Linked DNA regions of Anolis sagrei. The protein of the gene in region 1 interacts with the protein of each later gene in a pairwise test. Links are inferred from orthologs where the notes say so. Each region holds a gene or a part of one and is shown on either strand. Other genes may lie near its edges. The genes, in order: UROD and LRATD2.

Region 1 (16,096 bases):
ACATGGTGGTGGGTTATAAAGATTATTATTATTATTATTATTATTATTATTATTATTATTATTAAGCACATTTACCTAAAGTATGCATCATGAACTTCTATCTCTACCCAAAGGTAATTATAGCACAAATTTCCCTAGGGTGACAGAATAAAAACGTTCTTCTCCCATCCACAATATTTATTCACAGGACATACCTATCTCTAGTCATTGGCTGAACAGCAGAAATCATTCTTATGTCTAACAGGCAGATGTGGACAAATATACCATACTGCTCACCTGCAAAGTGAGTTCACAACATGTCTCTGGTGACCGACAAGTTGCAAAGAAATCCTGAGCAGCTCGGGTTTCACGGAACTCTGCAAAAAGGCCAGAAAGTTGAGAAAAAGTGGAAAGAATGTCCCTCAAAGGGCATTAAATCCTAGAGGAGAAGGGCCTCAAAGGCAGGAAAAGGCTAGCTAGGTCAGTAACAGACATCTCATAAGAGAAACACTCAAAAGTATTTTTTTCATGTCAGGAGTGACTTGAGAAACTGCACATTGCTTCTGGTGTGAGAAAATTGGCCATCTGAAAAGACGTTGCCCAGAGGACACCCAGGTGTTTTACCATCCTGTGGGAGGCTTCTCGCATGAGAAGCTGGAGCTAACATATCAGAGCTCACCTTGCTTCCCAGATTCGAACCGTCCTGCCGGCACAAGGATTTAACCCATTGAATCACCGGGGGTTCCACTAGTCAAGTTTCTGAAGTGTAAACATATATCAATAAATGAAAAAATTAGGATGGTTCATGCCATGCTATGGAGCCCCTGGTGGCACAGTGGATTAAACCGCTGAGCTACTGAACTTGCTGATCAAAAGGTTGCAGGTTTGAATCTGGGGAGTGGGGTGAGCTCCCGCAGTTAGCCCCAGCTTCTGCCAACCTAGCAGTTTGAAAACATGCAAATGTGAGTAGATTAATAGGTACCACTCTGGCAGGAAGGTAACAGTGCTCCATGCAGTCATGCTGGCTATAAGATCTTGGAGGTGTCTATGGACAACACCAGCTCTTTAGCTTAGAAATAGAGATGAGCACCATCCCTAAAGTCAGACACGATTGGACTTAATATCAGGGGGAAACCTTTACCTTTACTATGTCATGCTATTTCCATGTATGGTTGTGAAAGCTGGACAGTGAAGACAGCTGACAGGAAGAGAATCAACTCATTTGAAATGTGGTACATGAGAAGAGTTTTATAGATACTGTGGAGTGCCAAAGGACAAATAAATTGGCCTTAGATCAAATAAAGCCTGAAGCCAAGAAGTCAATGTAACTAATTTGAGTTTGTCATGCTTAGGACATATCATGAGAAAACATGATTCACGAGAAAAGATAATAATGCTTGGTAAGATAGAAAGCTGTAGGAACCAAGGAAAACTGTATTCCAGATGGATGGACTCAATCAAGAAGTCACAGCCCTGCAAGGTCCGGGCATGGCTGAAGGTGATAGAGGGGTCACTATAAATCAAAGTCAACTTGTTGACTCTTCTTATATTCTAATACTTTCCATATAGATTTTAAATTTCTTCTATACTAATTTTGAAGCCAAATAATAAGAGTGAACAATGTACTTTTAGGTTCTGACATGAGGACATATTTCTCCTTCCTCACAAACAATTTTCTGAAAAATATCATCACAGGTTTTATGGTTGATGCACCTCACTAGGACAAATAATGGCATGAACAACCCTAAGAACTGGCACTAAGAACACTGCCTAAGATCAGAAGGAATATTTTTTTAGAGACTATTGAGCCAGAATGGCGAGGGATGATGGGAGCTGTGTTCCCCACCTAGACGACCACAGGTTTTTTTGCACTTCCCTAAAGCTTCATCCACCCAATAATTTCACTTACCTGGGAGGTACCTTCCTGCCTGTCTCATGCACCAAACTGGGGTGTATTCTGTCTCTTCCCCTTGTGCTGCGCGGAGGAAAGAATCATTCTTAAGTTCGGGGAATCCTGTGGGTCTAATTAAGAAAAGCAGAGAGTTAGCACAAAGCGGATGAGGAAGAACCATGTTAAGACTCATAGTTAAGACTCATAGTTAAGAACAGGGGTGAAACAACAAGAAGTGAGAAAAATCCACCCATAGGAAGGAAAATTCACTTTTGAAAGAGTTATCCTGGGGAAAAGGGGTCTCCACTGAAGCTGTATCTCCCATCTTTGTTTCCACAAGAAGCTATATTTTTCAAAATCCAATTGTCACAGATAGAAAAACAAACAATGGAGGGGTGTTAACCCTTCCCCATGCTATCCAAAGCTCTCTCTCTGTGTGTGTGTGTATGTATAGAGGGAGGGGTTGGAGGTACACTTAAAATGTATCTGTTCCAACTTACATAAAAGTTCAACTTAAGAACATGTCTACAAAATTGATCTTGTTCATGACTTGGGAACTGCCTGTATCTCTCTTTGTGGGTGCATCTATGTGAAGAATCAATGCAGCTAGACCTCACTTGAATTGCCATGGCCCAATGCTATGGAAGTTTTACTTGGCTTTTAGCCTTCTCTGCCTAAGAGTGCTGGAGTGTCATCAAACTATAACTCTCAAAAGTCCGCAACATTAAGCCATGGCAGTTCAAGTTGGGAAGGAAAGGCCTTTGGCTGATTCACAAATACTTTTTATGATTTTCAAAATTAATCCCTGCTTTTTAAATGATGATCTTCAGATTAATCTCTGTTTTTACTCCTAGACCATGAATTCTGCATGTGATACCCATTCACTGGGCACTAGGGTTGCATCCACACTGTAGAATTAATGCAGTTTGATACCATTTTAACGTGGATCAATATTATGGAGATTAAGATCATCTGGGGAGGCCCTGCTCTCAGTCCTGCCTTCTTCACAAGTGCAATTGTTGGGAATGAGAGACAGGGCCTTCTCAGTGGTGGCCCCTCAGCTGTGGAACTCCCTCTCTAGCAACATCAGATCAGCTCCTTCCCTCCTCCCTTCAGAAGGAAAATAAAAACCTTGATCTTGGACCAGGCTTTCGGAGACTAGTGTACTGCAATATAAATTGGATTATGTGCAATGATTATGGAATCGGCCTTGGACAACAATCTTTGAATGGTGTGATATTAATACGCAATGTAATTTTTTAAAATGCTTCATTTGTATTAATTTTAACTCAACTGATTTTAAGTTTTTAATATCTGTATGTGCTGCAAAACATTGAATAAATGCCACATGTAAGCCGCCTTGAGTCCCCTTCAGGGTAGAGAAAGGTGAGATATAAATAGGGTAAATAAATAAAAATAAATAAATAGAATCTTGGAAGTTGCTTTATAATTTCTTTCACCTTTCTGCCAAGGAGTGCTGGTGCTTCAGCAAACTACAACTCCCAGGATTCCTTAGCACTGAACCATGACAGTTAAAGTGGTGTAAACCTGCATTAATTACACAGTGTAGATGCACCCAATGTCACATGCAAAGAAGTTCAAAACTGAAGGTGCTTTCCATCTTAAGAACAGACAGGCATCTCGAGCTCTGAGGATTACCTGGGAAGGAATCCCACTGGAGCATTGCGGCACACCCAAATACCTGGGAATTACCCTGGAAGGACCAAGGCATTGACATCTCCGGCCCATCCCCTGTTTGGATATCAACCAGCATGCCAACACCTTAAATCAAGAAATAGTTTTCTAAGATCCATAGAGATACTCGCAGGAACACCTCAGCACGCGAGAGTTCAAAAGTGGCAGGCTAAAACATGGAACCTGTATCCATGGCTGATACCAAATGAGAGACTCCCTCCTGGGCACACAGAAGACTGATTAACTTGGAAGTTGCTGAAGGGACTGCGCTCTGGCACCACAAGATGCAGAGCCAACTTTAAGAAATGGGACCACAAAGTGGAGCCCACGACATGTGAGTGTGCAGAACAGCAAACCACATATTACAATACAGTCTGAGCCCTACCGCATGCACAGTGGAGGACCTTCTTATAGTGACACCAAAGGCACTCTAAGCAGCCAGCTACTGGTCAAAAGACATTTAATTTAATGCCAAGTTTTAAAACTTTGTATTTTTAACACATTACAACTGTACCCTTGGTGCGCTCCTGATACGATAAAATAAATAAATCCATAATATTATTCAGTATAATTAGAACCTGTCAACAATTACTATATTTACATATGGGTTCCATTCTTGTCTGAATGATACATTGTGCTTTGCCAAAGGTAAAAATGGATTAGCTTTTCCATTTTTTTCTTTGAAAACAACAGGCGAGGAAAACCCACAGAGGCCCAGCCCATGAATGGTCACTGATATAAAATTATCAGTAAACAACAGAACAGTTTCCCTGCATGATCGTAGGACAACAAAGTGCTCGTTGGGTTCCTTGAGGAAGGGTTGCTTGAGCCAGAAGGTTGCAGTATTTGCAATCTAAAGTAAATTATTAATAAATATTGGTTCCTGTAGTTCTTGGGTTTTTTTCATTCTTGGATGGGTTTCTTTTTAATTTCAGAACATACCAGGATATTCTTTTCTCTTCTTGTTGTCACTTTCTTTACAATCGCCATGCTATAGTGCAGGTGTAGGCAAACCTGGGCTCTCCGGGTATTTTGAACTTCAACTCCCACCATTCCTAACAACTTCAGGACCTTTCCTTTCCCCCCTCAGCCACTTAAGTGGCTGAGGGGGGAAAGGAAAGGGCCTGAGATTGTTAGGAATAGTGGGAGGTGAAGTTCAAAACATCTGGAAGGCCCAAGTTTGCCTAGGCCTGCTATAGTGCATCAATGAAATGGTACTGTAGCACTACACTTTGCACTATGTTTCTCTAGTCATGTCCGAACCTGGGGGTGGTGCTCATCTCCATTTCTAAGCTGAAGAGCCGGCGTTGTCAGTAGACACCTCCAAAGTCATGTGGCCAGCATGACTGCAGGGAGAGCTGTTACCTTCCCATAGAAGCAGTACCTATTGATCTACTCACATTTGCATATTTTTGAACTACTAGGTTGGCAGAAGCTGGGGCTAACAACAGGAGCTCACCCTGCTCCCCAGATTCAAACTGCCAACCTTTCAGTCAGCAAGTTCAGCAGTTTCACCTGCTGCACTACCAGAGGGCCCTATCTTTCTCTAATGCATTTAAAATGGGTTGCTGTGAGTCTTCCAGGCTGTATGGCCATGTTCCAGAAACACTGCCCACATCTATGGCAGGCATCCTCAGAAGGTGAGGGATCTGTTGGAAAATAAGTATGTGAGGTTTATATATCTGTGGAATATCCAAGGTCTTAGTTTTCAACAGACCCCCACAACCTCAGAGGATGCCTGCCATAGATGTGGGCGAAACATCAGGAGAGAATGCTTCTGGAACATGGCCAGAAGCTTGGAAGACTCACAGCAACCCATTGATTCCGGCAATGAAAACCTGCGTTTAAATTGTTAGAATTCAGGGAGGAGGAAATTTACTCTTCCAACTAGAGGACTACATTATGTCACCGGGTGCATCTAAATGACAAAATTAATGCAGTTCAATTCTACTTTGAGTACCATGGGACTTGTAGTCTTCCAATTTGCTGCAGAACTATGGGAGTTGCAATTTGCAAAACTACAAGTCCTATAGTTCTTCAGCACTGAGCCATGGCGGTTGAAGTGGTGTCAAACTGCATTTATTAGACAATGCAAATGCATCCTTGGTGGAGCCCCCGAGAAACTGCATAGCACCAGACCAAGTATCTGTTATCTCTCTCAGACCTGCTTACTAAGACTATCATTGTGGAAGAAATGTATTGGTAAGATAAACACACCAAGGAGCTTAAAGTGCTAAAAACAGTTTAATTCTCTGTATGGCCACTATCCTGTGTATCCTTTGTATGGTCACAGTTTCACTGGGCTGCGTTTACTCCCAGGAAAGTGGGCATGAGATTTCAGTCCAAACAGTCCTCGATTTAGACAGAACCCTTCAAAGTCTTTAAACAATTCCCTTCAAATAGACAGCAAGTCTATCTAACTCCTGTGCCACCTATCGGCATGCTTCCACTCCTATATACAATGTCTCTTCTGCCTTTAATAACATGCAGTAACAATGCTCAAGTGGACAAAGCAAGAGATTGATATGACTACTTCCCTATGTTGACAAACAGAAAGTACACAATTGTTAAATATTTCCCTAAATAATAACGGGTACTGTAAATATAGAGCCTCCAGTGTGGCAGCGGGTTAAATCACCAAGCTGCTGAACTTGCTGATCAAAAGGTCAGGAGTTTGAATCTGGGGAGCAGTGAGCTCCCGCTGTTAGCCCCAGCTTCTGCCAGCCTAGCAGTTTGAAAACATGCAAATGTGAGTAGATCAATAGATACTGCTCCGGTGGGAAGGTAATGGTGCTAATACAGCCTTGCCGACTATGCAATTGCTTGGGCTCCCTGGTGGCACAGCAGGTTAAACTGCTGACCTGCTGAACTTGCTAATCGAAAGGCTGGTGGTTTGAATCTGGGGAGCAGGGTGAGCTCCCGGTTTTAGCCCCAGCTTCTGCCAACCTAGCAGTTCAAAAACATGCAAATATGAGTAGATCAATAGGTACCGCTCCAGTAGGAAGGCAATGGCGCTAATGCAGCCTTGCCGATTATGCAATTGCTTGGGCCCCTGGTGGCATAGCGGGTTAAACTGCTGAGCTGCTGAACTTGCTGACTGAAAGGTTGGCAGTTCAAATCCGGGGAGCAGGGTGAGCTCCCACTGTTAGCCACCGCTTCTGCTACGTAGCAGTTCGAAAACATGCAAAAATGTGTAGATCAATAGGTACTGCTGCTGCAGGAAGGTAACGGCCCTCTATGCTGCCATGCTGGCCACATGACCTTGGAGGTGTCTATGGACAACGTCGGCTCTTCGCTTTAGAAAATGATGAGCACCATCCCCCAGAGTTGGACACGAATAAACTTAGTGTCGAGGGAAAACCTTTACCTTTACTGTAAACTAGCTAACATCATGTTGCATCTACTCTGATAGTTTCCCCTTATTTAAATATTTTTTATTTAAATGACTGATTTGAAAGTACTGGTGTCTTGTTGGAAGTTGGTCCCATGATCCAAACTCTGTGGATCAATTATACCAAATGATATAATTGATCTAATTATATCCATTAGCCCCAGCTTCTGCCAACCTAGTAGTTCGAAATGATATCCCTTATATAAAATGGCAAAAACCAGGATTTGCTCAAGACCTGGTCAAATTACAGCTCTCATGACAGCTTAAGTGGAGTCAAGGTGCATCATTTCTACCGTGCAGATGCACCCATTGCACTCTCTCTCACTCTCATGCTCTCTCCCACTTCCTGCTACTCACGCAATCGGCCCGTTCGTCTCCATTCTGTCTGTCCCTCTCCTGCCAGGGCAGTGGCTCCGCCCACAACAGGGAGGGAGGGAAACTCCACTAGCCACGCCCCTTTTCCGGGTTCCTTCCTGGTCCCTTCTGATTGGTCCTTGGAGGGCCCACCCCCTTCCCCCACTTTGGGTAGAGAAAACAGAAGAGCATTACCGTAGTGCACGTTGTAGAGAACCTTTCGAGAAAGAGAGAGAGAGAAGGGGTCTGGCCAAAGGAAAGGTCCCAAGGGCTATCCCGCTGGGATTTGAAGGAAAGCCATAAAGCAGGCACCCTCAAACTGCGGCCTTCTATCTGTTTGGGCCTCCAACTCCCAGAATTCCTGAGCACTGGACAAGCAGGCTAGGGATTCTGGAAGTTGGAGGCCCAAACAGCTGGAGAGCCACGGTTTGAGGGTGCCTGCCACAAAGGCTATATATCCTGTTGAATTAATGGTACTGTATCATGGATCAAAGCTATGAAATCCTGGGAGTTGCAGTTGTATAAAGTCTTAAGTGTCTCGCCAAATTACAGCAATAGCATTGGGTCATGTCAGTTCAATTGCATTGATTCTATGCAGGCCTGGGCACACTTGGGCCCTCCGGGTGTTTTGGACTTCAACTCCCACAATCCCTAACAGCCAGTAGGATTTTTTTTTTCATGTCAGGAGCAACTTGAGAAACTGCAAGTCGCTCCTGACACACAAAAAAATATGGTGTGAGAGAATTGACCATCTGCAAGGACGATGTTTTTTGATGTTTTGCCATCCTTGTGGGAGGCTTCTCTCATGTCCCCGCAAGGGGAGCCGGAGCTGACAGAGGAAGCTCATCCACGCTCTCCCTGTATACAAACCTGCAACCTATCAGTCTTCAGTCCTGTCCATTTCATTAACTGGACTTTAGTCTCCACATCATAGTGATGGACCCAGCTTTCATTCTGTGTGATCAGTCTGTTGAAAAAGTCCTCCTGGTTTCCATGGCACATTGTCAATAGAGCCTGAGAGCATTCGACTGGTTTCTGCATCTGGAAAAGTGTGAGCAGCCAGGGATCCAGTGAACGGATACCTTATGCATGTGAAGATGGTCTTGGATGATCTTTTCCATGGACCCTACGCTAATCTTGACATTTTGGGCCAGGTGGCAAATGGTTATGTAGTAATTTTCCAAAATGGTGACCTCCACTTGCTGCATGGTGTGTTCATCAATACCAGAGTGCGCTCACCCTGGAATTGGAGCTGTTTGCACCAAAGTCTGACCACATTTGAATTGATGATTCCAGTTCTTGACTCCATCATATGATGGGGAATCATCACCATTAACCTCTTTCATCTCATCAAACGTCTCCTTTGAATGCAATTTTCCTGCTTCTTGGCAGGGGGTTGGATTGGATGGCCCATGAGGTCTCTTCCAACTCAATGATTCTATGATTCTATGTGTGCGGCCTTTCAAGTAAAGGGTTAGAAGGCATGATCATCAAGTTTGTAGATGACACCAAATTGGGAGAGATAGCCAATACTCTAGAGGACAGGAGCAGGATTCAAAACAATCTTAACAGATTAGAGAGATGGGTCAATACTAACAAAATGAAGTTCAACAGGGACAAATGGAAGATACTCCACTTAGGCAGAAAAAAAAATGAAATGCAAAGATATGGAATGGGGGACGCCTGGCTCGAGGGCAGTACATGTGAAAAAGATCTTGGAGTCCTCGTAGACAACAAGTTAAACATGAGCCAACAATGTGATGCGGCGGCAGGAAGCCAATGGGATTTTGGCCTGCATCAATAGGAGGATAGTGTCTAGATCCAGGGAAGTCAAGCTACCCCTCTATTCTGCCTCAGACCACACCTGGAATATTGTGTCCGATTCTGAGCACTACAATTGAAGAGAGATATTGACAAGCTAGAATGTGTCCAGAGGAGAGCGACTAAAATGATCAAGGGTCTGGAGAACAAGATCTATGAGGAGTGGCTTAAAGACCTGGGCATGTTTAGCCTAAAGAAGAGAAGGCTGAGAGGAGATATGATAGCCATGTATAAATATGTGAGAGGAAGCCACAGGGAGGAGGGAGCAAGCTTGTTTTCTGCTTCCCTGGAGACTAGGACGCGGAACAATGGCTTCAAACTACAAGAGAGGAGATTCCACCTGAACATGAGGAAGAACTTCCTGACTGTGAGAGCCGTTCAGCAGTGGAACTCTCCACCCCAGAGGGTGGTTGAGGCTCCTTCTTTGAAGGCTTTTAAGCAGAGGCTGGATGGCCATCTGTTGGGGGTGCTTTGAATGTGATTTTCCTGCTTCTTGGCAGGGGGTTGGACTGGATGGCCCAAGAGGTCTCTTCCAACTCTAGGATTCTATGATTCTAAAGGAACTGGATGACTGCTCTGTATTCCACTGGGTCCATTATCAAACCTCACACCACTTCAGCACCTGTCAAATCAAGACCGTTATCAGTTCAGAGTTGAAAATTGGCACATAACCTATAGAGACTTATATCATGACACATGCACAGTTTCAGCATCCTGTGATAAATAGAAGTGGGTCGGGGGAATCCTTTAGGAACGCCCCTGGTATGTGCAAGCAGGGAGTGTGCAAGATAACTAGGGAGGAGAAGGCCAGTGTTGTGATCAGCTTTGGGCACTTCTGTGTCTTGCCTCCCGCGCGGATACCGGGTGCTTTACGGTAGGCTGCCAAGCCGGCGGGCGGGCGGGCGCTTCGACCAGGAAGCCCAGCCAGCCACCCGCCTGCTGCCCTGGCGGAAGTGCCCGGAGGGGTCCCCTTGGAGGCTGCTGCTGCTGCTGCTGCTGCGATGCTGCTTCCCCCGGGGGGCGAGTCTCCGCACCAGCTGCTGGGCCGGCTGCGCTTCCTGAGCGAGGCGGTGGAGTGCTTTCGCCGGGCGGAGCCGCTCCCGCCCGCGCTGTGCTTCGTGCCCCGGGAGGTGCAGTACAAGCTCTGCAAGGACGCCAGCGGGCCGGGCCTGTCCGGGGCGCTGAGCCGGAGCCTGCTCTCCGTCTGGGAGAGCCCCGGCGGCGGAGGAGGCGGAGGCAAGGCCGGGAAGGGAGGCGCCCTCGGACGGGGCGCTATAGAGCTCCGCAAGGGCTCCTGCCTCCGGGCCAGCGGCGAGGAGCACTGCAACGGGCAGGGCCTGTGGGTGAAGCTCACCAGGGTGAGTCGGGGAGGGAGGGAGGGAGGGAGTGTCCCCCGGGAAAGGAAGTTAGAATGCACTCTGCACATGCTCAGGGTCTTGGGTGCATCTATGTTGGAGAACGGATGCCCCTTGAAACGGACCGTGACTGCTGAGTCACAAGCATTCCCTGAACGAAGTAGGAATGCACTTTGCTCATGCTCAGAGGCAATTGTGTCCCACCTTAAGGACATCTGTGCTATAGAATGAATGCAGCCGGACACTACTTTGATTGCTGATTCACAAGCATTTCCTGAACGAAATAGGGAAGCATTTCGTGAACGAAATAGGAATGCACTTTACACATGCTCAGAGGCATCCCTGTTGTCGAATGAATGTAGCGTTATATCACTTTGATTGCTGTTTCACAAGCATTCCCTGAACAAAATAGGGATGCACTTTGCATGTGCTCAGAGGCATTTGTGTCCCACCTTGAGTGCATCTGTGCTGTAGAATGAATGTGGCCTGACACTACTTCGATTGCTAATTCACAAGCATTTCCTTATTGAAGTCAGGATGCACTTTGCACATGCTCAGAGGCATTTGTTCGGAAACTTCAATTAGTTCAACGGGCGGCGGCTAGATTACTCACCGGAGCGTCATACAGGGAGCACACCACCCCCCGTTGTGTCAGCTCCACTGGCTGCCGATCCAGTTCCAAACACAATTCAAAGTGCTGGTTTTGACCTACAAAACCCTTTACGGCTCCAGGCCAGCGTACCTGTCCAAATGTATCTCCTTCTACGTCCCACCTCGGAGTTTAAGATCTTCTGGGGAGGCCCTGCTCTCGGCCTCACCTTTATCACAAGTGAGACTGGTGGGGACGAGGGGCAGGGCCTTCTCAGTGGTGGCCCCTCACCTGTGGAATGCACTCCCCGGGGAAATTAGGTCATCAACATCCCTCCTCTCCTTCAGGAGGAAGTTAAAAACCTGGATTTGGGACCAGGCCTTCAGGTAAGCTGGCAGATGGAGAAAAGACAATGACGACCAGAGTAGGAAAGGACAATGACAATGCTGGATGGATTATGGATTTATAAATCGGTGAACATTTACCACAAAATGATTTTATTGCTGTTATTGTATTGATTTGATTGTTTTAACTAGTAATAACTGTTGATGTTAAATTGTAAATTGTATATTGTATTTTGTGAATTGTTGGGCATCAAATTGTGCCTTTTGTAAGCTGCCCTGAGTCCCCCCTAGGGGGTTGGGGGGGGGGGGTAGAAGCACTCCAAATAAATAAATAAATAAATAAATTAGTGTCCCACCTTAAGTGCATCCCTGTTGTAGAATGATTGCATCCTGACACCCCTTCGATTGCTGATCAAAAGCATTCCCTGAACGAAATAGGAATGCACTTTGCACAAGCTCAGAGGCAATTGGGTCCCACCTTGAGTGCATCCCTGCTGTAAAATGAATGCAGCCTGACACCACTTCAATTGTTGTTTCAAAAGTATTTCCTGAACAAAGTAGGGATACACTTTGCACATGCTCAGAGACACCCTGATTTTTGTTACATCATTGGGTGCATCTATGCTATACAGCGAATTCTGCTTGTTATTAATTGAAAATGTATCCTGACTGCTGAATCACAAACATTTGCTGGAGGAAGTTCAAATGGACTTTGCACATGCTTGGAGACACTTTGGTGTTTTGTACGACCTTGAATGCCTCTATGTTAGCTATAGGCAAACTTTGGCCCTCCAGGTGTTTTGGACTTCAGCTCCTACAATTTCTAACAGCCTCCTGGCTGGGAGTTTGCCCATGCCTGCTATAGAACAAATGTTGCTTGATACTAGTTGAAAATGTACCTTGACTGCAGATTCACAAGTGTTTCCTGAAGGAAGTTGAAATGCACTTTGCACTTTGGTTTTTTTTTTTTTTTTATGACCTTGAGTGCCTCTATGCCTCTATGTCAAACTTCAGCCCGCCAGGATTTTTGGACTTCAACTCCCACAATTCCTAATAGCCAGGAAAGGGTAATAATAATAATAATAATAATAATAATAATAATAATAATTTTATTTGTACCCCGCTACCATCTCCCCAAGGGACTCGGTGCGGCTTACATTAAAGGGATTTCTGGGAGTTGAAGTCCAAATTACCTGAAGGGCCGAATTATGCCCACATCTGCTGTAGAATGAATGTAGTCTGAGCATGTGCAAAGTGCACTCCTACTTTGTTGAGGAAATGCTTGTGAATCGGCAATTGAAGTTGTGTCTCACAGTTCTCTCATCCTGGGTACCCATATCTTCCAATAACCAAGCAAAGCAATAATGTGACCCACAGGGTCTTGTGAAATGCTGATAATGTTTGAAATATGTCTCTGAGTGATACAACAATTGTCCTGAATTAATCTGTCAACCTTTTGCTTGTGAAACTCGGTGGTTGCTGTCACAAGATGTCCAACTCTTTGTCATGCAAGTCAGATGTTCCCACCTCAACATCTTTAAACTTACTCACCCAACGACGCACAGTACTCACATCAACACAATCACCATAAACAGCTTTCAGTCTCTGATGAATCTCCTTTGGGGTGACACCTTCTGCTGTCAAGAAGTCAATGATTGCATGTTGCTTAAGTCACGCAGGGTTCCATACTTCGCACTTTAACAACACAACTGTTCAATGCTAAGGCTTCCTGCCAAAATGGAACTGTAGAGGAGAGTCTACTGAACAAGCCAGTACCTGCTGCATACCAGTACTGCCATCTGTTGAGGAGTTACGAAGGTGGAGGCATTACTTTTCATTCGATCTGTGTAAATCAATTCTACTCAAAGGAGCTGTTCATAAACCAGTGCTGGTCTACAGCGAGTTTCCATGAAAGAAATAAACATTTGTAGTCACAAATATGGTGCCAGTCCATATCTTACACCGTAGTTATGCCCAGAAATATTTCGTTGTGTTTCTGCTGATGCTTGTTTTACAAAGCTCAGGCTTCGTACCAACTACCTGACTTGTATTCTCTCTTTGTAGGAGCAGCTTGAGGAATATAAAACTGGCTGTGACTTGGACGAAGGCTGGATCCTCATGTGCAAACATGCCGATGGTGGAGATAGACTGGTGCCAGTTGAATCCACAGAGAGAATTCAGCGGCAGCAGCAGCTTTTTGGGATAGACTATAAACCTGTGATCAGGTATAAGATGTCAAGCCTTTGGGTGGGTTTTAGGAGGACCATTGGGTGTGAAGGTGAAAGTAAACATTGTACGTGGGCCATGAATCTCTGACATGTATAAATGTTAAGCAATATGCTCTTGTTACAAAATATTAGGCTTCCAATTATTTTGCTAGTAGTACATCAATAAGGAGCATTCTGCCTTCACTCATTTCCCTTTTCTTGATTTGATCCCTTTTGGAATCAGTGATAAAGTTTGCACTATGTGTTCTCAAAGAAAATTGAGATCTTTCAGAGGTTTCAAATGGAAGTGTTTTCTAAAGTACACAAGTAATCACACCCCTTGGTCATGCCCTTTTTGTTTTCTATTCATTCATTGTTTCTTGTTTCCTTGGTGTACGTCATTGTTTCCTTGGTGTATGTTATGTCACCGTCTGGATTAGCTAGTTCAGGATCATGCAAACAGCATGGCGACATTGTTGTGCAATGTAGGAAATTAGGCAATACCTGTACGGTGAAAACATGAAACCAGTTCAGAGTGAAGTTAGGAAGTATCATCATTACTCTGGTGTAATGCTATCACCTTTTAAACACTTGCTTCTATTCAGTCTTGACTTCCAAAATTGATTGATCTGTTTTTCACAGATGTATATGGACAGGTTTACAAATGCCGATAGGTCTGCTGTTCAGGTGAATGCACTTGCATGTATATACATAACATAGCAGCCATTCATATGTTGTCAATAGTGCAATTCATTGGAGTGTTATGTGGTTTCGGATCTGTATGGCCATGTTCTAGCAGCATTTTCTCCTGACATTTCACCTGCATCTGTGGCTCGCATTTTCAGAGGATTTTCTTAGTATATTTTCAATCTGTTTGTTTATTTGTTGGAAGGACAGCAAAAATAATTATGACAAGGATGATAAATATTATGATTCTCATTGATCTTAAATTGTTACACAATTTATCTCATATGCTATGTCCTTATCTCAGCTGCAGCTTTTGCCATTATAGCTTTTTCCCTATTTCTGTTTATCTAAACAGGAGTTAAAGCTTTTTGTTAAAGTTGCCCTTCTTTTGTTCCAGATGGGAGCAAGTGGTGGATGTAACATATTCCCTTCGTCTTGGGACAAAGCCCAAAATCATGGAGCCGGATGCAGCTGCTGTAGAGAGACTCCGGTAATTTGGGACTCCAGAATAAGGTTGTTTGGGATAGCTCTTCAATTGGGAGAGTTTACCTGCAGCACTGAGCATAATTTTTCATATTTTCCAAAAGTGTGGTCAGAATTTGGTTGACCGAGGGCTGAATTTCATTGGCAGTGGTGCTAAAAGAAGGGTTGAAAATATTATTTGGAGGGTATATTTGCTCTTGTTAAGTAGAACACAGTGCTGTGGATTAAAGGGTAAGTAAACGACAGTTTGTTTATTTATTATTTATTTATGACATTTATATGCCGCCTTTCTCACCCCGAAGGGGACTCAGAATGGCTTACAAGATATATATATATATACATACAATATATTTTATTATCAGCATAGTACAATATCAGTATTATATATTACTATATTGTACTATACAATTATATTGTAATATTATTAGTAATATTACATGTAATATAAAAATATAATTATAACATCATATTATTATATTGTATTACATTATAATATTATAAATATTATATGTATATACAATATATTACATGTATGTTAACTAACTCCTTGCTTCTCATTCTGTACCATTAATCCTAATCATTTGGCCTGTTAAGGTTTGTACCCCCGACGTGGAGCTATGAGTGTGATGAAGACCTGGTGCATTTCCTTCATGACCACATTGGAAAGGAGGATGAGAATCTGGGCAGCGTCAAGCAATATGTGGACAGTATTGATGTCTCCTCCTACACAGTAAGGTGTTAATGTGGGGTATGCCCTTGTGTGTCGGTACCTGTTGTAGACAAGCGGAAACGGCTGTGGTTAGATCGATTACAATGGAATCCCATTATTTCCCAGCTGAAGCTTTATTGTATTGTTTACTGCAGACATACTGTTGCAATCCAGCAGTGATAGTCTGGGTTTCTTCACCATCCTCCAGTACCAGTGCTGCTAATAAATGCTCCCAACTAGACCAAGTGTGAGCAAGAAAAATCAGGTTGAATGAGTATAAAATGACTATAAAAACAACTTCTTTGCCATAGGCTTTATTAACAGAGGCATGCCTATGATTAGAACATGGGCAGTGAAGCTTTTCCTATTTCAAGAGTTATGTTCTCTTGGTGGTAGTTTGTTGGGGATAGTGGGATGCTGGTATAAGGAGAAACTGTGTGCTTAGAGCAAGACTTCTTAAACTTTTCCACTTGCAACCCCTTTCGGTCCAAGAAATGTTAGTGACCTCAGGTATATAGGTATATAAAATCAAACATTTAATGATAACAAACCAAAATTTGCAAGGCTTGCTAAACACTATTTTTCTTTGCC
Region 2 (15,390 bases), about 160 Mb from region 1:
AAGGATAAAAGAGCAAACATTCCCAATACTGGCCAAGCAAGTCTGAGTTTCAGGTGGAGGGAGGAAAGGCTAGAGGGAAAACTGGAGAAACAAGAGACGGCAGAAGAAATATGTCTGAGTTATGTCCATCCAGTAACCTAAACCAAAAAAGGAAGAATTTGACACCCCCCCCTCCCCAAATATTCTTGGACTCCAGGTCCAAGCATGTATTCAACAACATCTGATAGGCCACGTGTTTTGCAGCCTGATCTGTTATTAGGGTAGTCAAAAAGTTCTGCCTCTCCTTCTCTCTGTGACAATTCACTTTAGAGTTGGAAATGACTTAAAGGGAGACAACAATGCAGTTGCAAGCCAAAGTAGACATTATAAAGAAGTACAGCTTGAAAATCAGGATGAGAGAAGGGTACTTAACCCTTTCACATTCCTATTGAGATTTTGCCAAAAAAGAAAACTCATATTCTAAACCCAGTATGAGTGTCCTGCCCCACAAATCTATATACCGTTCCCCTATGGAAATCACAAGGAAAGCCAGGCCACCAAGAAACTAAAGGGCACTCTAAACTTGCATTGACATGATCCTTCTTCTGAAACTGATGTTTCCTTTTTGGGATGAGGACAGGAGGGGAAGAATAGTGTAGTGTTTCGCAATCTTCCTAATGCTGCAACTCCTTAATTCAGTTCCTCATGTTGTGGTGGCCCCCAACCATAAAATTATTTTCATTGCTACTTCATAACTGTAATTTTGCTACTGTTATGAATTGTAATGTATATATCTGATATGCAGGAAGTGTTTTCATTCCCTGGACCAAATTTGGCACAAATTGGTCTAGGGAATGAATTTATTTATTTATTTGCTTTATTTTTATACCGCATTTTTCAGCCTAATTCGGCGACTCAATGAAATGTGCACAAGTTTGATTACTGGTGGGGGTTTTTTTTGGGGGGGGGTGGGCATTGATTTTGTCATTTGGGAGTTGTAGTTGCTAAGATTTATCATTAACTTACAATCAAAGAGCATTCTGAACTCCTCCATCGATGGAATTGAACCAAACTTGCCACCCAGAACTCCCATGACCAACAGAAAATACTGGAAGGGTTTGGTGGGCATTGACTTTGGGTTTTGGAGTTGTAGATCACCTGCATCCAGAGAGTACTGTGGACTCAAACAATGATAGATCTGGACCAAACTTGGCACAAATACTCAATATGCCCAAATGTGAACACTGGTGGTTTGGGGAAAACAGACCATGACATTTGGGAGTTGTAGTTGTTGGGATGTATAGTTCACCCACAATCAAAGAACATTCTGAACCTCACAAACAATAGAATTGGACCAAACTTCCCACATAGAACTCCCATGACCAAAAAAATATTGTGTTTTCTGATGGTCTTTGGCAACCCCTCTGACACCCCCTCATGAAACCCCCCAGGGATGCTGACCCCCAAGTTGAGAAATGCTGGAATCATGGGAGAGGATTTTTCTTAAGACATCTCTGGAAGAGGAACAAGTTCCCCTCTTTCACTTGATGCAATCCCTATCGCAACCAGTTCCCACCAGCAAGCCAATAATAGCTGCTTAAAAAAAAAACACCTTCATAATGGAAAGCAAAAAGGTCAATTCTAGTTATTCCCCCAATTTAATTAACTGTGTGTAAATGGGGATTCCATGCCAAGGAGTAAAGGAGTTGCTGCAGACAGAAGCAGGGGGTGATATGATCCAAACCAGACGATAAGGAGAGAGGAATGTTCAACAGGCAGCTGAGCAAAACACTCAACAGGATGAAAGAAGAAATTGCTGCACAGAAAAGACCACATGGGGAAGATGCTGAGGAAAAGAAAAAGGGTGAGATGCTGGAGGCCTTTGCCACCTGTTGGAGACGAGGCAGTTCAGCGATGCAACAGGAAGCTGAAGCAGGAAGAACTAGGTGACAAGTCAGAGTTTGGAAGGTACTACTTTGCCACCTGCCAGGTGCTGAAATTGAGCAAAAAACAGCACAGAAACTTGCTGACAAGAAAGAATATTGCTTCACTGACCTAAAACTAGCCGCCTCTATGTATCAGCGAACACACTGCTTGATAGAGTGAGTTGAGGGATGTGTCAGCTCCCACCCAAAACATAAAACAAACAGACAGAACTTAGAGAAAGAGGAAGACAGCAAGAATAAAGGAAAGGGAAAGACTGGAATAAAGAGTAATGTGTGGAAAGGGGAAGGTTCTCTCTCTCTTGGATTCTGACCAGACAGCAATACCACACATAACATGTTTCACAATATAACAGGAAAACCCTATGTGCCTATGAAAAGGCAGCAGGTGTAAAATTCAGGAAAAGGGAACTGGACTGTGTAACAAAGGTTCTCTGTGTATGTCTGTCTTCAGGTCCTCACTACCTCCGAGGATGCTTGCCACAGATGCAGGCAAAACGTCAGGAGAGAATGCCTCTAGAACAGTGGTTCTCAACCTAGGGTCCCCAGATGTTTTTGGCCTACAACTCCCAGAAATCCCAGTCAGTTTACCAGCTGTTAGGATTTCTGGGAGTTGAAGGCCAAAAACATCTGGGGATCCCAGGTTGAGAACCACTGCTCTAGAACATTTCATATAGCCCAAAAAAACCTACAACAACCCACTGTCTTCAGGTTGTCTGTCAACTTATGGAGATGTATTGTCAAAGACTTTCATGGCTGGAATCACTGGGTTGCTGTGAGTTTTCTGGGGTCTATGGCCATCTTCCAGAAGCATTCTCTCCTGACATTTCACCCACATCTATGGCAGGCATCCTTAGAGGTTGTGAGGTCTGTTGGAAACTAGGCAAGCGGGGTTTAAACTTCATATATCTGTGTAATGTCCTGGATGGGAGAAAAAACTCTTGTCTGTTGGAGGCAGGTGTGAATGGTGCATTTGGCCAGCTTGATTAGCATTGAATAGACTTTCAGCATCAAGGTTGGCTGTCCCCAGATCTGGATTCAAAGTTCGGATTCCCCCAGGCAGTAAGCAGCCAATCCTTGAAGCTGAAAGGCTATTCAACACTAATGAAGGTGGACAACTGCAAAATTCACACCTCCCTCAATCCGACAAGAGTTCTTTCTCCCACCCTGGACATTCCACAGATATATAAACCCCCACTTGCCTAGTTTCCAACAGACCTCACAACCTCTGAGGATGCCTGCCATAGATGTCAGAAGAGAATGCTTCTGGAACATGGCCATACATCCCAGAAAACTCACAACAACCCAGTGATTCTGGCCACAAAAGTCTTCGACAACACGGAATCTCTGGTTTTGGTTTTTAAGGTTCAAAACACTTCATTCCTTGTGTTTTTAATGCAAGTGAGGTTTATATAAGTGAGGTGGTATAGGAACCTCACTTGCCTAGTTTCCAACAGACCTCACAACCTCTGAGGATGCCTGCCATAGATGTGAGTGAAACGTCAGGAGAAAATGCTTCTGAAACAGCTATACAGCCCGGAAACCTCACAGCAACCCAACTTATGGAAACACTGTTTGATACATTATTCAAAAGGTAAGTTTACTCTGCAACTGGTTCCCAAAAGAGAATGTCATAGTTTTAAGCCAGAGTGGGCAACTTGGAAACATTTTTCTTCCCGAAATCCTCCAAAGTGACACAGTCCCCTAAAATGCAAAACCAAACGTAAATACAGAAATAGGGAGAACTCCATTCCTGGTTTTGAAGGAAAAAAAAGGTTTTCTGAATGTTCAACAGGTTGTAGGAAGTATACTACAGTCTATCTCAGTGGTGAATTTCCACTTGGGAAGACTGCTCGGTGAAAAGTGGACAACATTTTTTCTGGCCAGAAAAGGCCCACCAAAAACTGCCCTGGAGCCCACATTAACTCCCACCCCTACTCTAAACAGAGCCAGTTATTTATAGCTTCAGGCTTTGTGCTCAACAACTGCACTATGCTCTTCAAGTGCTTAGATATCCAGTGGCGCATAGACTGGATATCTATGGAGACTCCCAAGTCTCCTGATGAAGAAAGACAACACAGTCAACACCAGGTAAACATGATATAAAGCACGAATACAAATCTCCATAGGGCCAAGTCCCCTTGAACATCAAGCATCTTCCTTTGGCAAAGCATGCTCTGAATTCTGGAGGAAACATGCTAACCAGGATGGCTCCATCATCCCAAGTGAGAAGACTGACTAAATTGGGAGCTATTCCATCTATTATTGTTTATTCTATCATAGGAAATTTGCAGCAAAACTTGCTTTGCTGATAAGGTCCTGTCACTGCTTCTTTTTCCCAGTGACTGAACAATCTCTCAAGCAGACATGGGCAAACTTCAGTCCTCCAGGTATTTTGGACTTCAACTCCCACAATTCCTTACAGCTTCAGGCCCCTTCCTTTTCCCCGTCAGCCAACTAAGCTTTTTTGTTGCTACTTCATAACTGTAACTTTCCTACTGTTGTGAATCGTAATGTAAATATCTGATATTTAGGATGTATTCTCATTCACTGGACCAAATTTGGTACAGATATCCGATACTCCCAAATTTGAATACTGATGGGGTTGGAGGGGATAGATTTTGTCATTTGGGAGTTGTAGTTGCTGGGATTTATAGTCAACCTATAATCAAAGAGCATTCTGAACTCCACCAACAATGGAACTGAACCAAGTATGGCATACAGAACTTCCATGACCAACAGAAAATATTGGAAGAGTTTGGTGGGATTTGATCTTGAATTTTGGAGTTGTAGTTCACCGACATCTAGAGAGCAGTGTGGACTCAAACAATGATGGATCAGGACCAAACTTGGCACAAATACCCAGCATGCCCAAATGTGAACACTGGTGGAGTTTGGGGAAAATAGACTTTGTCATTTGGGAGTTGTAGTTGCTGGGATTTATAGTTCATCTCCAATCAAAGAGCATTCAGAACTCCACCAATTATGGAATTGAACCAAACTTGGCACACAGAACTTCCATGGCCAACAGAAAATACTGGAAGTGTTTGATGGGATTTGATCTTGAATTTTGGAGTTGTATTTCACTGACATCCAGAGAGCACTGTGGACTCAAACAATGATAGATCTGGACAAAACATGGAACCAATACCCAGTATGCCCAAATGTGAATACTGGTGGAGTTTGGGGAAAATAGACTTTGACATTTGGGAATTGTAATTGCTGGGATTTATAGTTCACCTCCAATCAAAGAGCCTTCTGAACCCCACCAACGATAGAATTGGGCCAAACTTTCCACACAGAACCCCCATGACCAACAGAAAATACTGTGTTTTCTGATGCTCTTTAGTGACCCCTTTGACACCCCTTTGCAATCCCCCCAGGGGTCCTCACCCCCAGGATGAGAAACACTGAAGTAAAGGAAGTAAACATTCCTTTCTGAATGATTCTGATCACATGGAATTTTCCACAGTTGGGGCTAGACACCCATAAAAGCCCCACAAGAGTCCTACTAGATGATATCATGTGTTTGTTCCGGTCCCTTTTCCCCTAGGCAGGGTGTCAAGAGACTATGAGGAACTATCACAACAACAAACACTGGAATTAACATTCTGCTCCTCAGAAGCGTCATTGTCTCACCGACCCTTCCAACAACCCTCCAGGGCCGTCCCTTGTGACTCCTCTCCTATAATTGTTGCTCAAACAAGAGGAAGAAGTTGGAGGTGTGGCTTCAGGATCCTACAAACACTCGTTCAGGGTAGAGTGCAGATTATACAAACCTATGCAGAGATAAAGTGCAAATAAATTCAGCATGGAGACGCTGAGAATCACAGGGAAAGTGTTTCAAGCAGCACCTTGGAAAGCCTTGTTATGCTCTCCATAAAACGGAGGAAAAGGCACAAACGGAGGAAGGGAGCAGTGAGGGGAATGGCTGGAGCTTCTGTTTGCAAACGACTCTGGAAATCACAGAAAAGAGACAGATAAGAAACCTGTAAGATCTTAACTCCATGGCTTTGGTAGTTTTGCCTACACTGACACCTACATTGAGAGCGTAGAAGGAAGGGAGAAACATTACTTTAAAGACACAGCTCTCGAATTTCTTCCAGAGAGGCTCATCTGTTGCATTAAAAGCACAAGGAATGAAGTGTTTTGAACCTTAAAAAGCCAAACCGGAGATTCTTTGTTGTCAAAGGGTTTCATGGCCAGAATCATTGGATTGCTGTGAGTTTTCTGGGCTGTATGGCCATGTTCCATAAGCATTCTCTCCTGACATTTTTCCTGCATCTATGACAGACATCCTCAGAGATTGTGAGGTCTGTTGGAAACTAGGCAGTTGGGGTTTATATATCTGTGGAATGTCCAGAGTGGGAGAAAGAACTCTTGTTGGTTTGAGGGAGATGTGAATGTTGCAATTGGTCACATTTGTTACCATTGAATGGCCTAGCAGTTTCAAGGTCTGGCTGCTTACTGACTGGGGGAGTATGGACTTTAAATCCAGACCTGGGGGCAGCCAGACCTTGAAGCCGAAAGGCTATTCAATGCTAATCAAAGTGGCCAGTTGTAACATTCACACCTGCCTCAAACAGACAAGAGTTCTTTTTCCCACGCTGGACATTCCACATATATATACACTGTGGTGGCACAGTGGGTTAAACCACTGAGCTGGTGAACTTGCTGACCAAAAGATCGGTGGTTTGGATCCAGGAAATGGGGTGAGCTCCAATTGTTAGCCCTAGCTTCTGCCAACCTAGCAGTTCAAAAACATGCAAAAAGGAGTAGATCAATAGATACCATCACTCATCTTTATATAGAGATTATCCCCTCAAAATGTTGGCCTTCTATATCCAGAGATTTCACCATCCATGGCTTGGAAACATTCACACACACAAAAAGTCCAGAAGCAAACCTTGATTTTGCCGTTTTAGAAAAGGGGTGCTGTTTTGCGATGCTATTCTGTATCGTGGGACTTCAACACCCATGGATTTTGGGGTCTTGGATCCAAACCCCAAGGGATACAAAGAACCATAGAATCATAGAATCAAAGAATTGGAAGAGACCTCATGGGCCATCCAGTCCAACCCCCCTGCCAAGAAGCAGGAATATTGCATTCAAATCACCCCTGCCAGATGGCCATCTAGCCTCTGTTTAAAAGCTTCCAAAGAAGGAGCCTCCACCACACTCCAGGGCAGAGAGTTCCGCTGCTGAACGGCTCTCACAGTCAGGAAGTTCTTCCTCATGTTCAGATGGAATCTCTTTTCTTGTAGTTTGAAGGCTTGTAGACCCTTCAGAACAGATAGTTCTGGGTTTGAAAACTGTCCCCCAAAATAATCAACACGGTCTTCCTAGAAGACCTCACAACCTCTGAGGATGCCTTCCATAGATGCAGGCGAAACGCCAGGAGAGAATGCTTCTGGAACATGGCCATACAGCCCAGAAAACTCACAGCAAACCTGACTTCCTAGAAGAACCGCTTGCCCAACAGCAGTGGCAAAATAGCAAGGGAAAACTTTGGAGTCAGGTTTGCCACTGGAGTGAGAACCCAGTGAGGACGAGGACTGGAAGACAATGGCTTGGAGATGGCAACTGAAGGCCCGGAACTGAGGAAATCCCTATTAGCCTTCGAACCAGCATCTCCGAGGGATTGATTGGCGGAGTTTCTCTTCGGGGAAACTTTGTATTGACAGCTGCCTTGGGAGGGAGGGGGATGATTCCCTTCCTGCCTCTTCCAAGGTCCTTGAGGATTGAGAAAAGAGCCCAGAAGAGAGGAAGGGGGCGAGGGAAGAGCCCTTGCCAGCCAGGAAGCGCCTGCCCTCCCTCCCTCCTTGCCTTGCCTGGGAGCCCGACTCACCTGGCCGGCCGCCTCCGCCTCGGAACACACCACCAGCCTGAGCCCAGGTGCTGCTCCTGCCCTGCTGCCGACGCCGCTGTCACCTGATCCGCCCCGCCATCCCTTCCTCCTCTTTCTCCTCCTCCTCCTCCTCCTCCTCCCTTTGCGCTCGCAGCGTCCCGGGCAACGGAGGCGTCGTGGGCGCTGGAAACTTCCCAAGCGGCGTCTCGCGTGGCGGCTCTTCCACCTGAGGAGGCGCTCCAGGTGGGCCGGCAGGTGCCCGCCACCCTTTCCCCGGCCCTTCACGCCTCCCTTCGCTCCTCAGCCCGGGTGTATCCGAGGGAGAGAGAAAGAAAAGAAGCCCAGGCGCCACTCCAAAGCGCAGCTCCACCAGCCAGGCGTTGCAAGCCAGGCGGCGCTCAGGCAAGCAGGCAGGCACACTCTTCCTCCTTCCCACTTCCTCCTCCTCCTCCTCGCACTCCTTTGGCCCGCGGGAGGCACGTGCACGCGCTCTCTCTCTCTCCCCCCTTCCTTACACCTCCTTCTCTCTCCGGGACGCGCGTGTTTTCAAGGCGCACTTGCTCCGGCTTTGCCACGCGCTGCTTTTTTTCCCACCTCCTTCCCCTCCTCTTCCTCTTCCTCCTCCTCCTCTTGTTCTGCTTGTAATTGAGGGTGCACCACTGGAGGGAGCCTGGGCTTCAGGGGGAGGGAAAGGAGGCGTGCAAACCTTCGCCCCCCGCCCCTGCTTGCGAGTTTGCCTTTCCTTTCCTCCCTGTGCCACGCGGAAGAGAGGTGCCTTCCACGCTGACGGACGGGGAGGGAAGGAAGGAAGAAAGGAAGGAGGCAACTTTCTCCTACCGGGATGGGCTTCAGGCAGGCCCGTAGCCAGGATTTTGATTCGGGGGGGGGGGGGTGAGTCTGAGTAAAAGAGGGTCCACCCTAGCAAACCTTTGTATGTTACCCCAATCCCAATGTTGTTGTTGTTCATTCGTTCAGTCGTCTCCGACTCTTCGTGACCTCATGGACCAGTCCACGCCAGAGCTCCCTGTCGGCCGTCACCACCCCCAGCTCCTTCAAGGTCAGTCCAGTCACTTCAAGGATGCCATCCATCCATCTTGCCCTTGGTCGGCCCCTCTTCCTTTTACCTTCCACTTTCCCCAGCATAATTGTCTTCTCTAGGCTTTCCTGTCTCCTCATGATGTGGCCAAAGTACTTCAACTTCGTCTCTAGTCTCCTTCCCTCCAATGAGCAGCCGGGCTTTATTTCCTGGAGGATGGACTGGTTGGATCTTCTCGCAGTCCAAGGCACTCTCAGGACTTTCCTCCAACACCACAGCTCAAAAGCATCGATCTTCCTTCGCTCAGCCTTCCCTAAGGTCCAGCTCTCACATCCGTAGGTGACTACAGGGAATACCATGGCTTTGACTAGGCGGATCTTCGTTGCCAGTGTGATGTCTCTACTCTTCACTATTTTATCAAGATTGGACATTGCTCTCCTCCCAAGAAGGAAGCGTCTTCTGATTTCCTGGCCACAGTCTGCATCTGCAGTAATCTTTGCACCTAGAAATACAAAGTCACCCCAATACCCCCATGCATATGGGATATATTGAGCATGGCGATCAGATCATGATAGGAATAAACATAACAGTTTAAATAATGTACAAGTAAGGCCTTTTCGCAGACCACCATGAGAATTTCGGGGGGGGGGGGGGCAGGGACATGCCTGGCTTCAGGCAAAGGTGGTGGGCAGCAATAAAGAGCTTCGTTCCTTCGGGAGCACTGTTTGCGCAACACAGAACAGAACACAGATATTCTGGAACAGTGGTTCTCAACCTGGGGGTCGGGACCCCTGCAGGGGTCACCAAAGACCATCAGAAAATACAACATTTGGCACCAGAAGTGTTTTGATTTTTGAGTTTTCCCTCCAATATTTTGAAATACATGCGTTGCTGATAAGTACTTACGGAAGATGTCTGGTGTTGAATTAAAGGCATTTGATACTACTTTTACTGCCATGGCTAAATATATACTACGGAAACCTGGGAGTTGTACTTTGGTGAGGCACAAATGGCTATATACTAGGGCTGGGTGGTTTCGTTTCGTTAATTCGTAATTCGTTAATAATTCGTTAATTTTTTAAATTACAAAATGATAACGAACCATTCTGGAGCAATTTTTTTAAAAAATGAATTTTTAAACACGTTTTGTAAATGCTTCGTATTTCGTTATTGTATTCGTTTTGTTATTATTCTGAGGTCGTTTTGTTATTATTTCCACATGTCTGGGGCAAGTTTTTTGTTTAATTAGTGAAAAAAAATTATAATATCACACCAACAGTCAACAACAGAGGGAGAGGGAAGCTTCAGAAGTTTTTGGAGGTTTTTAGCGTATTTTGCGGTCGCGTCCGCCATTAATGAATCTATTTGTTATTGTTTCGGAAATCGATTCGTTAATGTTTTGTAATTTTTTTCACATTTACGAAATTTTGTAAATATCGAACTTTTTAAAAGGAAAATTTTGTAATTATTTTAAATAACGAAACGCAAAAACCCCCAAAAAACGAATCGATTTTAGAAACAAATTTTTCCGTTGTTACCCAGGCCTACTATATACCCTGTAAATCTGGAATTCCCATGAATCCATAGCATTGAGGCATGACAGTTAAAGCCACATCAAAGAACATTGTTTTGACAGTGTATATGCGCCCCTTGACAGCCTTATATTGGAAAAATGCTTCACTCCAACATTACATCTGAGAAAACTCAACAGATCCACTTTGCCCATAGCTCAGTATTCCATGGAGTTGTTTCCATGTTTTAAAAATGCTTGTAGAAGGGAGGGGAGTTAGAGGTGGGATTAGCTTTAAAGGTCGCCTAGACCTTCTCAGCCTCAGGGCCCTTCCAAACAGCCATATCACCTGGAATATCAAGGCAGAAAATCCCATAGTATGTGCTTTGAAGTGGGTTATCGGAGGGGCCTTCCACACAGCCCTATATCCCAGAATATCAAGGCAGAAAATCCCCACATTATCGGCGTGTGGACTCAGTCCAGTTCAAAGCAGATATTGTGGGATTTTCTGCCTTTATATTCTGGGATATAGGGCTGTGTGGAAGGACCCTGAGTCCACACTGCCATATATTCCAGTTCAAAGCAGAAAATGTGGGATTTTATTCAGCTGTGTGGAAAGCACCTCAGAGGCTGAGAAAATGAACACATGTTGCCAAGAAAATCCTTCAAGAGGGTTGCTCTAGTCCAAAACGTTTTGAAGAAAACACAATAATAAAAGCAACTTGATTCCAACCTTTTGGAACTTTCTGAAGCACCAACAGATTCTCCAAACTGTGCTCCTCCAGATGTTTGGACTTCATCTCCCACAATTCCTAACAGCTGATAAGCTGACTGGGATTTCTGGGAGCTGAATCCAAAGCACCTAGAGGAGCACAGTTTGAAAAACACTTCTCCAAAGTAACCATCCACAATCTGACAACCATCCGGTTTTGTCCTTACCAGTCATGTGACCTAAATCAGGGTTGGAACCATGTGGCCCTTCAGATAGTCTTAAACTAAAGCTCCCAGCATTCTTACCAAGTGTCTCTGCTGGATAATACTTGTTGTAGTTCAACAACATTTGATGGACCATGTGAGTCCTTCCCTGAACAACAATGAGGGTAACCAATAAGTTATTTCTCTCTCTCCACCTCTCCCTTCCTGCTTTCATGTTGTTAACTAAACGTTGTGGGCTGTTTTGGGTGGTGGTGGTGGTAATATTTATTCTTTGGCTTTGCATATGATGGTCAGAGTTCAGCTTGAACCTCTGCAGCTTTCTTCCAATATGTGTTTTATTCAGCCTGAGTCTAAGGCAGTTTATCTCTCTGCCTTTTGCAACTTGAAACCTCTACAAAACCACAGGTAGCTTGGCTGGCTGAAAAGCTATCATCACCCTCTTCTATAAAGGAAAGAAAATGAAACAAACCTCTTCAAGTACAGCTTCTTCCATTACAGAATTACACATCTTGAATGCTGGCCTGGTGTATTTATGTTTGATTCCTGTATGCAATAAAGGCTTAGTAATAAACCCCAACACTCATCTTCTCCTGCTTCAGAGCGGGGAAAAGAGAAATAAATCTCATCTTCAAATAGGCTTGCTAGAGTGAAAACTGGAAAGGACTTCTGCACCTTTAATGGTTGTGTAGAAGAGGGGATTACTTGTTATTTGTTGCTTGGTTGTGTGACAAGCAAAACCTTCTGAAATTCCTTCTTCTACACAATCATTAATGGTACAAGCCCTTTAAATCTGACTCCCCTGCCTTATAATGTGGTCCTGTAGTATATGTTTCAAATATTCAGATTGCAAATGTGTGTGCATTTATCCGAGAACAAGTTTCAGTCAAGAAGAAGACTAGGATTTGGAAGGGCAGCTGTGAAGGAACTAAACAAGAACCTGAAGTGTAGAGGTATGTCATTGAAAACCCAAGTTAGGTTGGCCCATGCTCTCATATTTCCCATTAGTTGTGAAAGACAGAAACTGAAGAATGTTGGTAGGAAAAAATCAACTCTACTACTACTTTCCACCTAACTCCAAGGAAGACCCTCGGATCCTGGACCAGTGTCTGGTCGCTGTGATGGGCTGGATGAAGGCCAATAAGCTGAAGCTAGATCCTGACAAGACAAAGGTCCTCCAGGTCAGTTGCTCGAAGGATTGGGGCATGGGGTGGCAGCCTGTGCTCGACGGGGTCACACTCCCCCTGAAGACACAGGTCCATAGTCTGGTAGTCCTTTAGAATCCATCGTTGACACTTGATGCTCAGGTATCAGCGGTGGCTGGGACCGTACCTCGAGAAGTCTGACTTGACCATGGTGGTCCAATCCTTAGTTACCTCAAGATTAGATTACTGTAACGCACACTACATGGGGCTGCCCCAAAGATGGCCCAGAAGCTGCCTTTGGTGCAAAGGTCGGCAGCCAGGTTGTTAACTGGAGCAAGTTACAGGGAGTGGTAAACCCCCCCCCCCCCCTGTTCAACAAGCTATACTGGCTGCCAATAAGTTTCCAGTCCCAATTCAAGGTGCAGGTCATCACCTATTAAAGCTCTGGATGGTTTGGGACCTGCCTATCTTCAAGACCACACCTTCCCTTATGAACCCACACAGCCCCCAAGGCCTTCTGGGAAGGCCCTTCTCTCACTTCCGCCTCCATCACAGGCCCGGTTGGTGGGAGAAGGCCTTTTTAGTTGTTGCCCCCCCCCCCCCCCAGCTCTGGAATTCCCTTCCCAGGGAGATGAGACTTCCCCCCCCCCCCCATCCACTTTTCAAAAAGATCTAAAGATATGGATGTTCTGCTGTGCATTTGATTAAACATTTCCCTTGACAATTGTCCCTTGTTAGGACCCAAAAATTTTACTATGCACTTTACTACCATTTTATCCAAAATTAGAGTTGACCTCTTTTGTATTGCTCTTATACTTAATGCTGCTACATGCCCAATCCTCCGAACTGTTGTACACCAGGCTGTCCACCCATATCGAGGATTGAATTATGTTGTTGATGTTGGTTTAGTTGCTTGTTTTATATTTTGTTTAATGTTGTTTTATGCTGTTTAAGATTGTTGTTATGCAGTCTAATGTGCTATGTTTTAACTCTGTTATTTGGGCTTGGCCCCATGTAAGCTGCCGTGAGTCCCTTCGGGGAGACGGAGGCGGTGTATAAAAATAAAATTGTTGTTGTTTTTGTTGTTGTTTTTGTTGTTGTTGTTCAAAATCCAATTCTCACAGTGACAGTAGGTGGGGTGAAATCTTCTGAAGAGGGGCACAGAAAGCAATGCTTCCCATGCTATCCAAATCATGTATATCTATATCTGTAGTTACACTGAAAAATTACCTGTTCCAACTTACAAACAAATTAAACTTTAGAATAAACCTACAGGACCTATTTTGTTTGTAACTTGGGGACTGCCTGTAAAAGGAATCCTGTCTGTAATTACCCTGCCTTCCCAGAAGTACATCAAAGGCCTACAACATTGAGTTACAGGCAAATTGGGCTTGTTGAGTTTCCAGGAATTCATGTTACAATGTTGGGGTGAAGCTTTTATCCAGGACATTTGGAAAGGATATCAAGGACATCTAGGGAGATTTGAGACATACTGCGGGCCAAAGTGAATGCATGCAGCCTCCACCCATCCCATTAGTCAATATATCTTCCAACTGTTGCACTTTGGCAGGGACATCCAAAATTATTATATCACTGGCCTAATTTCACAGTTGCTTTCAGAATGCCCCAGTTTTCCTCTCTGCCTCCTACATTTCCATTTCATCATCAACTTACATCAACTATTGCAAAATAGCTCAAATAACAAAAGCTTGTACTCAATGTGAGGAGAGAAGTGGAATTTCGTCCTTCCCAACAAGCACAGATAAAAGCAATTGGCTGCACCCTCCCCTAGTCTTGGAACAGGACATCTTGGGCTGTGCAAATCTAATTTACTTTTTCCTGGGAAGCAAAAGAAATAAACACACCTTGTAAAAACTATGGGGAGAGTTTGCCAGTTAAACAAGAGGTTTCTTTTGAATTCCAACACCAATGAAGCTGTGCTCCTATGTCCCAGTTTCCATTTTTGACATGTTGGAGAGGATAAGTCAAGCCATGAAGGGAAAGTGTCATTGAATGAAGTTCTGTTGCATGTTCATATAGCGGGAAACAATCCCAACTTGACATGGACAGTTCTGAGTAATCCATTGCTGCCCCACTTTTTCGGCTGCTTTAAAAATGTCCCAGTTTTTCTCTCTCTATCTCTTTCCCTTTTGGTCCAGCTTCAATAGCTGCAAAGTGAGTTAAAAAATCAGAAGTACTCTGTGCTTAACTCCATAAGGGGAGCGAGTAGAAATTGCTTTTGCTCTTCCCAGTGGCAAAAGCAAACTGCTGCAGGCTCATTCGGATGATGTGCCCTGACTCATTATTAACTTTTTGCCATTTTGACAACACTTGGATGTTTCTTGGCTGCCCATGTCTCCATTTTCACCTGTGAAATGTATGCCATTATACTACAGTGGGAAGGGGAGAGTATGCATCATTTCTCAGAAGTTTGGGGAATTTAGTGTTAATGGCCTAGACACCCTCCCAGAGAGCATAATTTGGCAATCCTGATTCCTTACACAGCATCGCTGGAAGAGGCCGAAGACACACGATTCTGGCGATGTCAGCAGGCAGGAAGAGAGATCAAAAACCAGCTCAAAGATCCACAAAGGCTTCCTACGTAGACAATGATTGCCCAGGATTCGCACACTTCATTGCTATGAGAAACGTATCGAAAGGGACTTGATGCTGTCCCATATCATGGGATGGAGGAGATAACCCCCTCCTCCATATACCTGGAGTATCTCAGAAATAATTACTCATTAAAATGAACCCAGATGTGCCTGCTCCTATTTTCTGTTTTGTTACAAAGCTTCCCTTCCCATTTATTTTATAAGATTCCTTCTTCCCCATCAGCCCCCTCTCCTTATGCTTTTGTGCATCGTTGCTATCTGGAGCATTTGAGCTCATTGCAAGAATCAAATGAGATGGCTGATTCTGTCTCCTACACTTACATACGTAGGTGATCCCTCCTTGACCAAGTAAGATTGTCCTCCAAGTGCGGTGTCCTGGCA

Evidence for each region.
Region 2: the proteins of UROD (region 1) and LRATD2 interact in binary tests that used the Homo sapiens proteins (3 or more experiments, as listed by UniProt). The two-hybrid records come from large-scale screens. The link is inferred for Anolis sagrei from reciprocal best matches to the Homo sapiens genes UROD and LRATD2.

Annotation. Positions count from the first base shown.
Region 1 is NC_090024.1:179,877,743-179,893,838, reverse strand, and holds the start of UROD (uroporphyrinogen decarboxylase), read right to left. Parts: upstream 7,421-16,096; 5' UTR 7,337-7,420; coding exon 7,314-7,336; intron 2,002-7,313; coding exon 1,889-2,001; intron 357-1,888; coding exon 277-356; intron 1-276. Other genes in the region: E3 ubiquitin-protein ligase HECTD3, read left to right, coding at 10,133-10,489, 13,484-13,644, 14,711-14,803, 15,391-15,526. UniProt on the Homo sapiens protein: Catalyzes the sequential decarboxylation of the four acetate side chains of uroporphyrinogen to form coproporphyrinogen and participates in the fifth step in the heme biosynthetic pathway.
Region 2 is NC_090024.1:18,580,347-18,595,736, reverse strand, and holds the start of LRATD2 (protein LRATD2), read right to left. Parts: upstream 8,375-15,390; 5' UTR 7,771-8,374; intron 1-7,770.